3 linked regions of the Arabidopsis thaliana genome follow. The protein of the gene in region 1 interacts with the protein of each later gene in a pairwise test. Each region holds a gene or a part of one and is shown in the gene's direction. Other genes may lie near its edges. The genes, in order: MUB2, UBC10 and UBC28.

Evidence for each region.
Region 2: the proteins of MUB2 (region 1) and UBC10 interact in a two-hybrid assay, tested with the Arabidopsis thaliana proteins (one study listed by BioGRID).
Region 3: the proteins of MUB2 (region 1) and UBC28 interact in a two-hybrid assay, tested with the Arabidopsis thaliana proteins (one study listed by BioGRID).

What each region holds. Positions count from the first base shown.
Region 1 is NC_003076.8:5,018,067-5,022,924, reverse strand, and holds MUB2 (membrane-anchored ubiquitin-fold protein 2), read left to right. Parts: upstream 1-1,998; 5' UTR 1,999-2,355; exon of another isoform or gene 2,356-2,691; 5' UTR 2,692-2,819; coding exon 2,820-2,952; intron 2,953-3,154; exon of another isoform or gene 3,155-3,429; coding exon of another isoform or gene 3,430-3,484; intron 3,485-3,616; coding exon 3,617-3,781; intron 3,782-3,901; coding exon 3,902-3,978; 3' UTR 3,979-4,245; downstream 4,246-4,858. Other genes in the region: GAUT14 (galacturonosyltransferase 14), read left to right, coding at 132-722, 811-1,113, 1,211-1,492; CLPB3 (casein lytic proteinase B3), read left to right, coding at 4,670-4,858. UniProt on the Arabidopsis thaliana protein: May serve as docking site to facilitate the association of other proteins to the plasma membrane.
Region 2 is NC_003076.8:21,631,411-21,635,905, reverse strand, and holds UBC10 (ubiquitin-conjugating enzyme 10), read left to right. Parts: upstream 1-1,658; 5' UTR 1,659-1,807; intron 1,808-1,879; exon of another isoform or gene 1,880-1,906; 5' UTR 1,907-1,916; coding exon 1,917-1,986; intron 1,987-2,343; coding exon 2,344-2,471; intron 2,472-2,587; coding exon 2,588-2,692; coding exon of another isoform or gene 2,693-2,719; exon of another isoform or gene 2,720-2,960; coding exon 2,961-3,104; 3' UTR 3,105-3,339; exon of another isoform or gene 3,340-3,458; intron 3,459-3,859; 3' UTR 3,860-3,885; downstream 3,886-4,495. Other genes in the region: AT5G53310 (myosin heavy chain-like protein), read right to left, coding at 496-814, 1,027-1,249. UniProt on the Arabidopsis thaliana protein: Accepts the ubiquitin from the E1 complex and catalyzes its covalent attachment to other proteins. Mediates the selective degradation of short-lived and abnormal proteins.
Region 3 is NC_003070.9:23,831,560-23,836,084, forward strand, and holds UBC28 (ubiquitin-conjugating enzyme 28), read left to right. Parts: upstream 1-1,991; 5' UTR 1,992-2,112; intron 2,113-2,190; 5' UTR 2,191-2,232; coding exon 2,233-2,302; intron 2,303-2,917; coding exon 2,918-3,043; intron 3,044-3,132; coding exon 3,133-3,260; intron 3,261-3,326; coding exon 3,327-3,431; intron 3,432-3,517; coding exon 3,518-3,661; 3' UTR 3,662-3,977; downstream 3,978-4,525. Other genes in the region: AT1G64210 (Leucine-rich repeat protein kinase family protein), read left to right, coding at 1-650, 718-1,304; TOM7-2 (translocase of outer membrane 7 kDa subunit 2), read right to left, coding at 1,529-1,762. UniProt on the Arabidopsis thaliana protein: Accepts the ubiquitin from the E1 complex and catalyzes its covalent attachment to other proteins.

The sequences.
Region 1 (4,858 bases):
GTCAAGTTGGTTTCTTTTCTTTTTTATTTGCATTTGGAAGAGATCTTTGTTAATTCTTGTTGCTCTCTAAAGTGAGCCATATCAATGGGAAGATTATCATATGTGATATATCTCTATCTTGTCTTGAACAGATGGAGAAGTTTGAACGTGATATGAGGGAATCGAAATTTGCAGAACTTATGAACAAGCACTTTGCAGCAAGTTCCATTCCCAAAGGCATTCATTGTCTCTCTCTAAGACTGACAGATGAATATTCCTCCAATGCTCATGCTCGAAGACAGCTTCCTTCACCAGAGTTTCTCCCTGTTCTTTCAGATAATGCTTACCACCACTTTATTTTGTCCACGGACAATATTTTGGCTGCCTCAGTTGTGGTCTCATCCGCTGTTCAGTCATCTTCAAAACCCGAGAAAATTGTCTTTCACATCATTACAGACAAGAAAACCTATGCGGGTATGCATTCATGGTTTGCGCTTAATTCTGTTGCACCAGCAATTGTTGAGGTTAAAGGTGTTCATCAGTTTGACTGGTTGACGAGAGAGAATGTTCCGGTTTTGGAAGCTGTGGAAAGCCATAATGGTGTCAGGGACTATTATCATGGGAATCATGTCGCTGGGGCAAACCTCACCGAAACAACTCCTCGAACATTTGCTTCAAAATTGCAGTCTAGAAGTCCAAAATACATATCTTTGCTCAACCATCTTAGAATATATATACCAGAGGTAAATCTTTATCCCCTAGTTTGAACTTGCAATAGAACTCATGGGGATTCTAAATCATTTGCCAATTTCGTCTCTTTTTTTGGAATAGCTTTTCCCGAACTTGGACAAGGTGGTTTTCTTAGACGATGATATAGTTGTCCAGGGAGACTTAACTCCACTTTGGGATGTTGACCTCGGTGGTAAGGTCAATGGGGCAGTAGAGACTTGCAGGGGTGAAGATGAATGGGTGATGTCAAAGCGTTTAAGGAACTACTTCAATTTCTCTCACCCGCTCATCGCAAAGCATTTAGATCCTGAAGAATGTGCTTGGGCATATGGTATGAATATCTTCGATCTACAAGCTTGGAGGAAAACAAATATCAGAGAAACGTATCACTCTTGGCTTAGAGAGGTAACTCTATCGAATAAGCTTACACTTTTTTGTTTTTCTTTAGCAGAATCTAAAGTTACCTCTCTAATCTACTCTGTTTACTTTTGCTTTGGAACAGAATCTAAAGTCAAATCTGACAATGTGGAAACTTGGAACCTTGCCTCCTGCTCTTATCGCGTTCAAGGGTCACGTACACATAATAGACTCGTCATGGCATATGCTAGGATTAGGCTACCAGAGCAAGACCAACATAGAAAATGTGAAGAAAGCAGCAGTGATCCACTACAATGGGCAGTCAAAGCCATGGCTGGAGATTGGTTTCGAGCATCTGCGGCCATTCTGGACCAAATACGTCAACTACTCAAATGATTTCATCAAGAACTGTCACATATTGGAGTAGGAAAACCGAAACTTTGAGATGATCATGAAGGTAAGAGTTACAGGTGTATGATCATGAAGGTAGTTACAGGTGTAAAAGAGGAGAAGTAGTAAAAAAGACAAGGCAGTCTGCAGATATTACACTCAGTCTAAAGAAGGAAGAATCAGAAATTTAGTTTGCCACATACATAAGAGAAACTTGGTTGCAGCGAAGGGAAGGTTGCATAAGAGAAAGAGAGAGAGAGAGATAAAGATTCATTCTTTCTGTAAAATAGAAGGTTACCCTTTTTTTGAAATTCTTTTGGAGAATCCAATTCTTGAATCTTTTTATAAGAATGGGGAAAGAAAGATTGGGTTTATAATTCTTTTTTGGTTATTAAGAGAGAGAGGGAGAGGTTATGACCAGAAAAGCCAGTTGTTGATAAATTGAGGAACACACTTATACACTTGTTTTGTTGCTATTTGCTCCACATTTCTTATTAATATCATCATTTCAGTTCCTAATCTTTTCGAGCTGTGATTTTGAATGTAATCTCTACAAAGATCGTTGATGATTAACCAAACAAACAAAAATCTCCAATAGCTTTTGAATGTACAAATAAAAATGAGATCATATCAATGTACAGAGAGCATTTGGTAATATAATTATTATTTTTAAAAGGAATTTAAAAGGTAGAGCATTTTAATTGGCGTAGAGATGGGAAGAAGAAGAAGAAGAACAAGGACATAAAAAGGATTTGGGGAACATTTTGGCTGCAATTTATTCTCAAACCTTATGAGTGAGATCTCTCTTAATCATTCTCTCTTTCTTCTCTCCTCTGTGATGTGAGGTTTCGAAGATCCTTCTCTGATTCCTCATCAAACTCAGATCAGTAGCGGACCCAAGTAAGAACACCTAATTAGGGTTTCTTTTTGTTCGTGTTCCATCGGTTAATCTAATACCAGATTGAGTTCCATTGGTACTTTTGTTGTTCCTTTCGGAGATAATACGATTCATGATCGATCATATTTTCAAGGAATGATCTTTGCTATTCTTAGGATTCATATTATTTGATCAATGCGTTTCTTATATTCATTTTCACCATTCAGGATCATCTACCAATCCATAAGTTTCATTAGGGTTCACATTGAGACTTGAGCTAGAGAAAACATGTTTTTGTAGCTGCTTGAGAATTTGTTCTTGTGTGAAACAATTGGTTCCTTGTTTTTGATTTATTGCAGATAGGATCAAAGCAAACGAGGTTTCAATTTAGAGTTTTTTAAAGCTCAAATCTCGGTTGCTTCGGTTGAACTTCTTGATACACTGTCTCGTTTTGAGTTCTTGTTAGGTCATTCCTTTAGAGAGATATATGGCAGAGGTGAAGGATCAATTAGAGATTAAGTTCCGGCTTAACGATGGTTCTGATATCGGTCCTAAATTGTTTCCTGATGCTACTACCGTTGCTACATTGAAAGAAACCGTTGTTGCTCAGTGGCCAAGAGGTCAGTGTCTATGCTCTTACTCTGCTTTACATGTATTGATGATATTCATTTATGCAATGAGATAAAGCCGCGTTAAGCTTTATCGGTCTGGCGATTTCTCCATGACTAGAATGGTTTAGACTTTAGAATTGCATTGTAAAGAAACTTTCATATTTAGCCTTTTGTTAGGTTCAGAAACTCATTGCCCTCTTTATTGATCCTTGAGAAACTGGTTACAAAGATAAATCAATGACCAAACGTAAGAAGAGACTGAAACAGAATTAGAGCAAACGAGAGAGTAATTTCTGTACAACTCTTCTTTCTCCCCAATGCCCCCAAATTATCTAGACCAATCAGCTTCTTAAACCTTCAGCTCTCAACTAACCGATGAGGTCTATTACTGAGCTGGCAAAGCTACACTTCCCTGCATCACCCCTAGGCTAGTTACATTAGTCCTGCACTGCACTGGACTTAACAAGAACGCCTTCTCGCTTCTCCATGAGGACCTGCATTGGTTTTTCGCCTATATCTGTGATAATATCAAAACCTGATTGTGAGTCATTGGTGTTATGGTTTTGCTTGTTTGTATAATTTTGAGCAGCTAAGGAGAATGTGGCAAAGACACTGAAAGATATGAAATTGATTAACCCTTTATGGTTTTGCTTGTTTGTATGAATGTGAGCAGATAAGGAGAACGGGCCAAAGACAGTGAAAGATGTTAAACTGATAAGCGCGGGTAGAATATTGGAGAACAACAAAACGGTTGGAGATTGCAGGAGTCCCGTCGGCAATTTCTCAGGTGCTGTCACCACAATGCATGTTATAATTCAACATCAAGTTACTGAAAAAGGTAATCTTTAGATTCTTAAGCATTGTTCATAGTATATACTGTTTGAAAACCTCATCTGTTAAGGTTATGCATTTGTATGAGAATCTGAAGATCATTTGCTTTGCTAATGGTTTAAAACAGAAAAGAAGAAGAAGAAGCCTAAAGGTGATCTGAAACAGAACAAATGTGTCTGTTTATGTTTTGGAGCTCGTTGTTAACAATTGTGCAAGACAAGTAGAGAGAGTTAAAAAAGCTTGGGAGATTCACATTCTGTTCTTGAGCCTTCTTCAATACCTTTTGCTCTTGTTCCTTGTAATTCTTTTTTCTGACATGACATGACATGATTGGCTTTTTGATCGCTTGAGGTTTGGTTTCTATTGTATTTCGGATTCGCAACACCGTGGAAATTATTAGGTAACAAACAAATTTGCACGGAATAAAGTGAATCATCACGAAATATAACTTGACATAATTTCCGTGGTTAACAATGTTTGGTTTCTGTTAACAGTCGTAGTGGGCCAATCTCGTTATCAACGGCCCAAAATTCGGGAAACTATATATTAATTATTATTTTCTGCTATATTTTTGGACGGTTCATATTAATTCTACTTCGAAAAATCCTAAGTTTTCTGAGAGTGAACACGTGTCAGAAGAAGGTCTCAGTAGTAAGTACATCCCGATGGTTCACGAAGACTCCGGCGTCGTTTAGCAACTTCTTCTTCTTCTTTATTAGTTTTCTACTTCACCTTTTCTCTTGGTTCTCGCTAAAACTACACGAGAAAGCAAAAGCGTTTCTCTTTGCTGATTTCTTAAGTAAACATCTCGCCGTTTTGGTGGATTTGTGCTAAACTACCTGTTGTATTTGATCTTCCTTTTTCAATTGCTTGCTGTTCTTAAATTTCCGAGCTAATGGCGACGGCTACGACGACTGCTACGGCGGCGTTTAGTGGTGTAGTCAGTGTAGGAACGGAGACTCGAAGGATTTATTCGTTTTCTCATCTTCAACCTTCTGCGGCTTTTCCGGCGAAGCCTAGTTCCTTCAAATCTCTCAAATTAAAGCAGAGCGCGAGGCTCACACGGCGGCTTGATCATCGGCCG
Region 2 (4,495 bases), about 17 Mb from region 1:
ACACAAGGAGAAACCATTATCAGTATAAAACACAAACTGCACATATAAACCAATAGCTGAGTTTTACGATATGGGAGATATACAAAATGTTTCTACGGACTATTATCGTGATTGCCATTTGAGAACAGTTTCAATCAAAACTAGAATATGTCATCTAACAGTATTTAAAATATAGTTGTAACCATTTGTATCTCAACGTACTAATTTCAGTAGTTATCTCCTAAAAGTGTTAATTCTTTATCTTCTTCCATAAATATAGATATGATTAATAGGTACAAGTGGATCCTCTGGTCTCACCACTAACTAATAGCCAAGTCACTTAAGAAACAGAGCTCACTAAGTTTCAGAGACTAAAAAGACCCACATCAGTTCTCAGTAACACAATACCTGTAGTGTCAATATCAGGAAATGAGATGAAAATAAACAATTCTCATGTGCATGGTATTAGCATTCAAAGAGGAGACATCAAAAACCAAAAATTGCGGTCATAGTTACCTGTTAGAGAGAAGCACTTCAAGTTCATAGTCAGAAGCACTTTTAGTGACATCTACCATGACCTGAACAAGCTCAGTCTTCCTAGTGCTGGCCATGAAGAGATCATATTCCGTGGGAATAATGATAGCGAAGAAGTTATCACTCAATTTGCTTAAACACATCTTCTCTACTGATGACAAAGCAATTCTCCTGGTCATAGCTTCAGTCTCGGGATCAATTAGATAGATCGCAAAATCAGTGAGGATAAAAATACGCCGTTTCATCTTCCCCGAGCCGGTGAACTTCAAAACTTTATCAGCAAAAAGAATCGATGTATCACCTATAACAACAATGAATCACCTTCTCAACATCAAACACATGCAATTCAAGGTGAATCCAATCATTAGCAATCCAAACAACCACATAAGAAACTATAAATCGATGCCACAATTCTACAGCTGATTCAACTATTCCTCCAAGTTCTTCGATTCACAAATTGCCTCTCAATCTCAAATTCATCAAATAAAAACCAAAAGTTTGGAGAAACCTAACCTTGTTTCTCCAGAATTCGCATCAATCCAGGACGAGAAGAAACGTGAAGATAGTCACCACGATGCTCTCTATAGCGAGACGCTTTCCTTCTGACTTTACCTCCAGCGAATGGCGTGTGATCTCCTCCGTCTACCTCACCCACACTTCGATCTTCATCAAAATCAGGTGGAGGTGATTCTTCGCCGTCGAACTTCGGCCCCTTTTGCTCCTTCAACCGGTTCATTCCTCCCGGCGACGAACTCGAAATCGGAATCGGTTAGCTTATTCTCAGATTCTGCGTTAGAAAAATCTCCAAAGTGAGAGAGAAGACGTGGCTTCAAATGATTCGATCGATTAAAAGATACAAATCTCAGCCGTTAGATTATATGACTTCATCGCAACGCGTTTCGATGCCACTTGATTTGAAATTTATAATAAACTCGCAGCCGTTAGATTTCAATACCACTTGATTTAAGGATAGGATATCAACCGTTAGATTAGATGACTTTTTAAGACGATGTCGTTTCAATGCAACTTGATGTTTTAATTAAGAAGCGCCGCGTCGTTTCAAGGTCCACCGAATAATAAGAGGGTTAAAAGTAGAGTCCACTAGTCAAAGAAAGTAAATAATCCACACGGTATTTATTGTAGACGTGAGCACAGAGAATAATTCGTATTCTTCGTCTTTCGTCCACCACCATCTCTATTTTCTTCCTTTCCCCTAAGTCTTGGTTCTTCTTCTCTCTAATACGAGAAGAAAAAGGCGAAAACCTCGCCAATCCGATTACGCGAAAAATCAAAGGTATTGTCTCTGTAGCTTTTGGATCTATTACTTATATTTCTCACGGATTTATAGCTTCTCTGATTCGTTTAGAATCTTTGTTTGATTTTTGATTTTTAGGTTTTTGGATATGGCGTCGAAGCGGATCTTGAAGGAATTGAAGGATCTCCAGAAGGATCCACCTACATCATGTAGCGCAGGTACTTGTTTCGTGTTTGGATTTTGAGATTTCATCTTAAAAAGTTTTGTTTCCCTGAGCTGGTGTTGATAGATCCGGTTTTTTTGTTCGCTTATGCTTGGATTTGTTTGGATTTGTGTGTTTATGTGTTGTTTGGTACCGATCTCGAGCTAAGTACTCGTTTTACTTTTTAAGATCTGGCTAGAACTAAATTTGGTTTATCTCGTTTCTGATTTCTCTGGTGAAGATCTTATAAAGGCTTAAAACTCGTTTCATTGTCTTAGTTTCTGGGGTCTGGTTATACTTGTGAAGAAAAAACTGTCTCTTTGTTTCCTTGTGCTTATGTGGTGTGAGATTGAGTTTATCTTTCTGTGTACAGGTCCTGTTGCTGAAGACATGTTTCACTGGCAGGCAACGATAATGGGTCCTTCAGAGAGTCCTTATGCTGGAGGTGTTTTCCTTGTAACCATCCATTTCCCTCCGGATTACCCATTCAAGCCTCCTAAGGTGATTCCAATATTTTGAGAATTGTTATCAAGTATGTTTTGCCAAAGCTCGTATGTTCTTTATGGTTGCTTCATTATCTCATTGTTCTTCATTATGGTGTGTGTGATGATATCTAGGTGGCCTTTAGGACCAAGGTGTTCCATCCCAACATTAACAGCAACGGTAGCATTTGCCTCGACATCTTGAAGGAGCAGTGGAGTCCTGCGCTCACCATTTCCAAGGTTCGGTTTCTCTTATTCTTTTGTTAACAATAGAAACCCACCTTAAAACAAATACTCTCTATTAAAACTGCTTCAGAGGCAGTAATCTACTCTTATCAAACATGCTTTTGCTCCTTAATCCCTAGTTGAAGTGATAAGATTGAGCTGTCTTCATTAAACTTTGACTCATTTCGGTTGTCTCTGAAACATTAAGCTTATTAGACTCATTGAGGATGAAAAATTGTTGTTTGTTATCGATCAGTTCTAACAACTGCTTTGCAATTAACAGGTGCTGCTATCGATCTGTTCTTTGTTAACCGATCCAAACCCGGATGATCCTTTGGTGCCCGAGATAGCTCACATGTACAAGACTGACAAGAACAAGTACGAGTCCACTGCACGAAGCTGGACTCAGAAGTATGCCATGGGCTAAATGGAAAATCCCACCTACTAAATTATCTCTTTATGAAGAAAAAAATCTGCCTTAATTTCTATGTATGATTCGATAGACATCTCTTTGTGTCCTTTTAACTTTCTGAAGACAGGACCAAATGAAGTGGGTCTTGTTTTAAACGAAACAAAAAAAAACATCATCTTTGTGAAAACTAGAATCTGATCATCTTCTGTTGTTTCTTCTTGTGGTGAAATTATGATTTGATGTTTTCGTTGTGTGATGAGTTGCTACGAGTTGTTCAAATTTATCAAACTAGTCTTCAAACTTATCCAACTGGTCTTCAAACTTATCCAACTGGTCTTCAAATTTACTCTGAGTTAATCGTTGTGGCCAATGCCCGTCATGGTGACAATGCGTTCTGTTGTAGCACGTATGTTGTAGAAAATGAGTTTTGTACCTTGCAAGGTGCGCCTGTGGATTGTGGACTACATACGTGATGCAACAAACATTTTAAGTATGCAATAATATCACAAACAATCCTATATCCATTAAACGACATGTATTATGCATGTTTGAACTCAAGTAGTAACTCAGCAATGATTCACTAGTACAAAACCACTAAACACCCTATTTTGTTTATAAGTTATAACAGTTTTCTTATTCGTATCATCCATCATATCATGAGTTTGACGAAAACATGTTATTTGGTGAAGTCAAATTATTTGACAATACAGTATTTAATAAAATAATAAATAGCCTGATTATGTGGAATGTGAGTGGTATAGAATCAACAGAAAAAAAAAAAAGAGTGGTATAGAATCTAATACTACAGATAATCTATAGATGAATGGGTATGGACTGAACTCAAGTTATGTAGATGGGCTTCGATGGACCAAAGATCCATCGCTCGTCCGAGCTTAAAGTATCACCCCTAACAAATTATCTTTACAAGTCCACAGGTAAGAGAAAAATACATTTAATAGTGTTGTGCTATTAGAATATTTTTGAATTTCTCTTCTCTATAAGAAAATACAGTATGTTACTATCTTTTTTTCAAAATTTATCATTATCCCACGGATCAGTGTATTAGAAGAGTATCAGTTTGAACTTAGAAATGATAACCAACAGGCAAAACTTACTCTAGTTAAGAGCAAAAGACCAAATTAAACATCTGCTTTAAGTTTAACAAAATAAGAAATCATAGGGACTATAGGTTTGATTTAGATATCCATGAAACTTGTAGGCTAAGAACTCTAGACATTCAAACGCAAAATTCAAACAATTGGTGTCGACTGAAAGAAATAAAATAAAAATCAGTGTTCCATGTTTTTTGGTTTAGTTAAGATAGGTGTTCCATATTCCAAAATGTTAAAATACTTTAATAATTGTAACAATGCACGGTTAAAGAGACAATACAACCAATTAACTAT
Region 3 (4,525 bases), on another chromosome or scaffold:
TCCAAATCTTCATCTTCCAAAACTGAGTCAGATCAACTTGTCCAACAACAAGCTCATCGGTACAATACCAAAGTCTCTTCAAAGATTCCAAAGTTCAGCTTTTTCTGGCAACAACCTTACCGAGAGGAAGAAACAACGCAAGACTCCTTTCGGGTTAAGCCAACTTGCTTTCTTGCTGATTCTGTCTGCAGCTTGCGTTTTGTGTGTTTCCGGATTATCATTCATAATGATCACTTGTTTCGGGAAGACTAGAATCTCCGGGAAGTTGCGAAAGAGAGACTCGTCTTCTCCTCCAGGAAACTGGACATCTAGAGATGATAACACTGAAGAAGGCGGGAAGATCATCTTCTTTGGTGGAAGAAACCACTTATTTGATTTAGATGATTTGCTAAGCTCATCTGCAGAAGTTTTGGGGAAGGGTGCTTTTGGTACAACCTATAAGGTAACAATGGAGGACATGAGCACGGTCGTTGTAAAACGATTGAAGGAAGTTGTCGTTGGAAGACGAGAGTTTGAGCAACAAATGGAGATCATTGGTATGATCAGACATGAAAATGTAGCTGAGCTAAAGGCTTACTACTACTCCAAAGACGATAAGCTCGCGGTTTATAGCTATTACAATCATGGAAGCCTCTTCGAAATACTGCACGGTTAGTTATTTTCATTGCTCTCATTCTGATGATAAATCGAAACTACAAGGTTCCATTTTCTTTGCAGGAAACAGAGGAAGGTATCATCGAGTACCGTTAGATTGGGATGCTAGACTGCGAATAGCAACCGGTGCAGCGAGAGGGCTAGCTAAAATCCACGAAGGGAAGTTCATACATGGAAACATCAAATCCTCAAACATCTTCTTAGACTCACAATGCTATGGCTGCATAGGCGATGTTGGCTTGACGACAATCATGAGATCACTTCCTCAAACCACTTGCCTTACTTCTGGCTACCATGCACCTGAAATAACAGACACAAGAAGAAGCACACAGTTTTCGGATGTATACAGCTTCGGTGTGGTATTACTGGAGCTCTTGACAGGGAAATCACCAGTGAGTCAAGCAGAATTAGTACCAACAGGAGGTGAGAACATGGACTTAGCTAGCTGGATAAGATCTGTGGTGGCTAAAGAGTGGACTGGAGAAGTGTTTGATATGGAGATATTGAGTCAATCAGGTGGTTTCGAGGAGGAGATGGTTGAGATGTTGCAAATAGGATTGGCTTGTGTTGCTCTGAAGCAACAAGAAAGACCTCATATAGCTCAAGTTTTGAAATTGATTGAAGATATTCGATCAGTTGATGCAGAGTGAGACAACACAAACTAGTAGTAGTAACCATTAAAGCAAATTCTTTGTTTCTTCATAGATCATTTGATTTTATTGAATTTGAATCATGCAAAAAAGAATGAGACTTTGAATTATAGAATCAGAAACAAATATAAATCCATTTCATAAAACGAAGAAAACAGAACAAATTTGGGAAAAAAAGTAAAAGCATCTAAGAAGAACATTACGAAGAAGATCCAATTTGTGGATTAAACGGGAGAGAGGAGGTGAAAAAGATGAGGTTTAGGATCTGAGTTCATGCCGATGATGATGATCAGAGGGATGAAACCATAGTGAGTCGCGACTTTGGCTTTCTGTAATGACCAGTTGGTCCAATCCTTGAAGACCTTGTACTTTGATGATGCAGAGGAGGACGAAGATGATGATGATCCCTTTGATGGTTTTGCTTTGCCTTTGATCTTCAACGTACTTTTAGCCGCCATTGATTCTGATCTCAGAACTCTCTCTCTCTCTCTCTGCTTATCTCTGTGTCAGAGTCGATTTAGCTGGAAGACAAAAACCCTAAAGGGTTTAAGCACCTTTTTAAAGCCTCTATGAAACACTCTGTCTAACTCAGAGGGTCCTTTATTTTTTATTAAAAGTATGTTTATCCAATAATGATTCTCTGGCTCGCTGGAAAATAGCTGTCATTATTTATATTTGAAGCATACATAAATAAAATTTCTCTCTCTTTGTTTATTCGTTAGGTCTCAAAGGCTCTCTCTGTCTCTTTCTCAAAAATCATCTGCAGGAAGTGAATCGTCAAAACCGAGTTTGGAGGATCTGTCTTGAGGTAAAAAAGCTCAATCCTTTATCGGAAATTTTCAACCTTTGCTTTTCCTTTGTTTGTTGCGTTGCTGAATCTATCTAGGGTTTGGTTTTTTGGATCTAGGAGTTTTTTTTTGGTTGAGAAATGGCTTCGAAAAGGATCTTGAAAGAGCTCAAGGATCTCCAGAAGGATCCTCCAACTTCCTGCAGTGCTGGTTAGTCTTTACCTCTCCTCTCGTAAATCGTGTCTGATCTATTTTTGAGCTTTGTTGTTAGATCTTATAATCTTATCTTTAAGCAAACAAAAAAATGAAATCTTTTTTAGTCTTCGTAATTTTATAACGAAGTTATCTAGAGATCTTGAGGTGGTAATTGCCGCTAAGTTATGATCTTAGTTTAGAAGATACCAATTGAAAGTTGAGATTTTTCTTAGAACAGAACAAATTTATGGCTGTACTGATCCTTGATTGAAAATTACAGCTTTCTAATAATCATAGTCTAGAAGATAGCTGTTAAAAATTGGGATCCATTTACCCATCCTGGATACTATTGATCATAATTAATAAGATAACAGTTGGAAGTTGAGATTTTTCTTAGAACAAAGTTGAGATTGGTCGTTGCAGTTATCTTATGATCATAGTCTAGGAAATAGCTATTGAAAGTTGTGAATTTTCTTAGAATTAAGCTTTTGGTGTTGTATGCTGCCTTGTTTATCCAAGTATCCATAACGGATCTTACAGACTTGATACCTCGCACTGATAGTCTTTCTTAGTTATCTATTGCATTCAGGTTTATACATGTTTGTTTTGTTTATTAAAATATATGATAAGTGGATAATGCGTCGAAATTGTTGGTCTTAATAGAGTTAGAGGATTGTTGTCGGAGATTCTCAAACTGTTCATGCATTCTTCTGCTAGAGAAGTCTCAGGACATTGCTATGGCACATGTTTTGTTGTGTGTATTTCAGTAAATGCCATAGATCATCATGTTTAAAAGACTAATCTTTCTATTTTTTCCTTCTATGAACAATTGTGAAATCTTCAAGGCCCAGTTGCTGAAGACATGTTTCATTGGCAAGCTACAATAATGGGTCCATCTGATAGTCCTTATTCAGGCGGTGTCTTTCTCGTAACCATTCACTTCCCTCCGGATTATCCTTTCAAACCACCAAAGGTAAATTATTCATTGTTACCAAACTGAAATCATGAACTGGAATTCAAAATGCTCTTTTTCTTGCAGGTTGCATTCAGGACAAAAGTGTTCCACCCTAATGTCAACAGCAATGGAAGCATTTGCCTTGACATTTTGAAAGAACAATGGAGTCCTGCACTCACCATATCGAAGGTGAAAAAGCACTCTTTAACCAATAGCAGTGGATGATATATAATGAATCTCCTCTTATTTTAATCAAATCTCTTGTGAATTTATAGGTTTTGCTTTCGATATGTTCATTGTTAACGGACCCAAACCCAGATGATCCATTGGTTCCAGAGATTGCTCACATGTACAAAACCGATAGAGCAAAGTATGAGTCTACTGCGAGAAGCTGGACTCAGAAATATGCAATGGGATGAAAGTTTGTGTCCTTTGATCCCTCACAGACTCGGTTTTAATAGAGAGAGAGAGAGAAAGAGAGAGGACTTCTTCACATAGGGATCTTCCATGAAATAAGTTAGATTCCTATGTTTTATCATCTCTTTGTTTGAAACCTCTTTAATCTCAAACAAAAACATTACTTCACCTCTTTATTATCCATATGTTCCCTATCTTTGTTTCTATGCTTTTTCCAAAAAATTATAAGAAAAATTATTTATGTAAAGCTGGAAACTTTGAGCTTTTACCTAACAAAGTATGACGATGATTAAATGGGAACATTTGACATTTGCTACCAAATTTTCAAAATTCCGTGTTTGAGAAAATATTGAAATAAAACCATTTTTGCAGAAAAATAAAATAAAAATTGCATGATTTTGAAGATGTTGATTAACATATTAATTCGAAATTTACCCTTGTATGAAATGCAAAGTGATAAATTTACCCTACAGAAAATTTTCTCCACCTTTATCATTTCCCTTGCTTGTAAGGGATCAATGATTCCATATGTGCATTAATTTAAAAATACCTCAAATCAAAGAATAAAGGTACACTTTATCTACCATTGAATTAAGTTACCTCATTATGAAATGGAAAGCGAAATCAAAAGGCATATTATTACGAAACAATAAACTGTAGATTTATTGGTTAGCTAGATCATCCAACTTTTCATTCAATCTGAATTTTCATTTAATTTATGATGATTTGAATGTAAAATCTGTAAATCATGGTGTATTATTATTAACCAATGAAATATTCTAAATACTGAAAATAATTCATGTAGTGATTTAGCCAATCATTTAGGCTATATTTAGTTATTTACATAGCAACTAATTACGTTCATG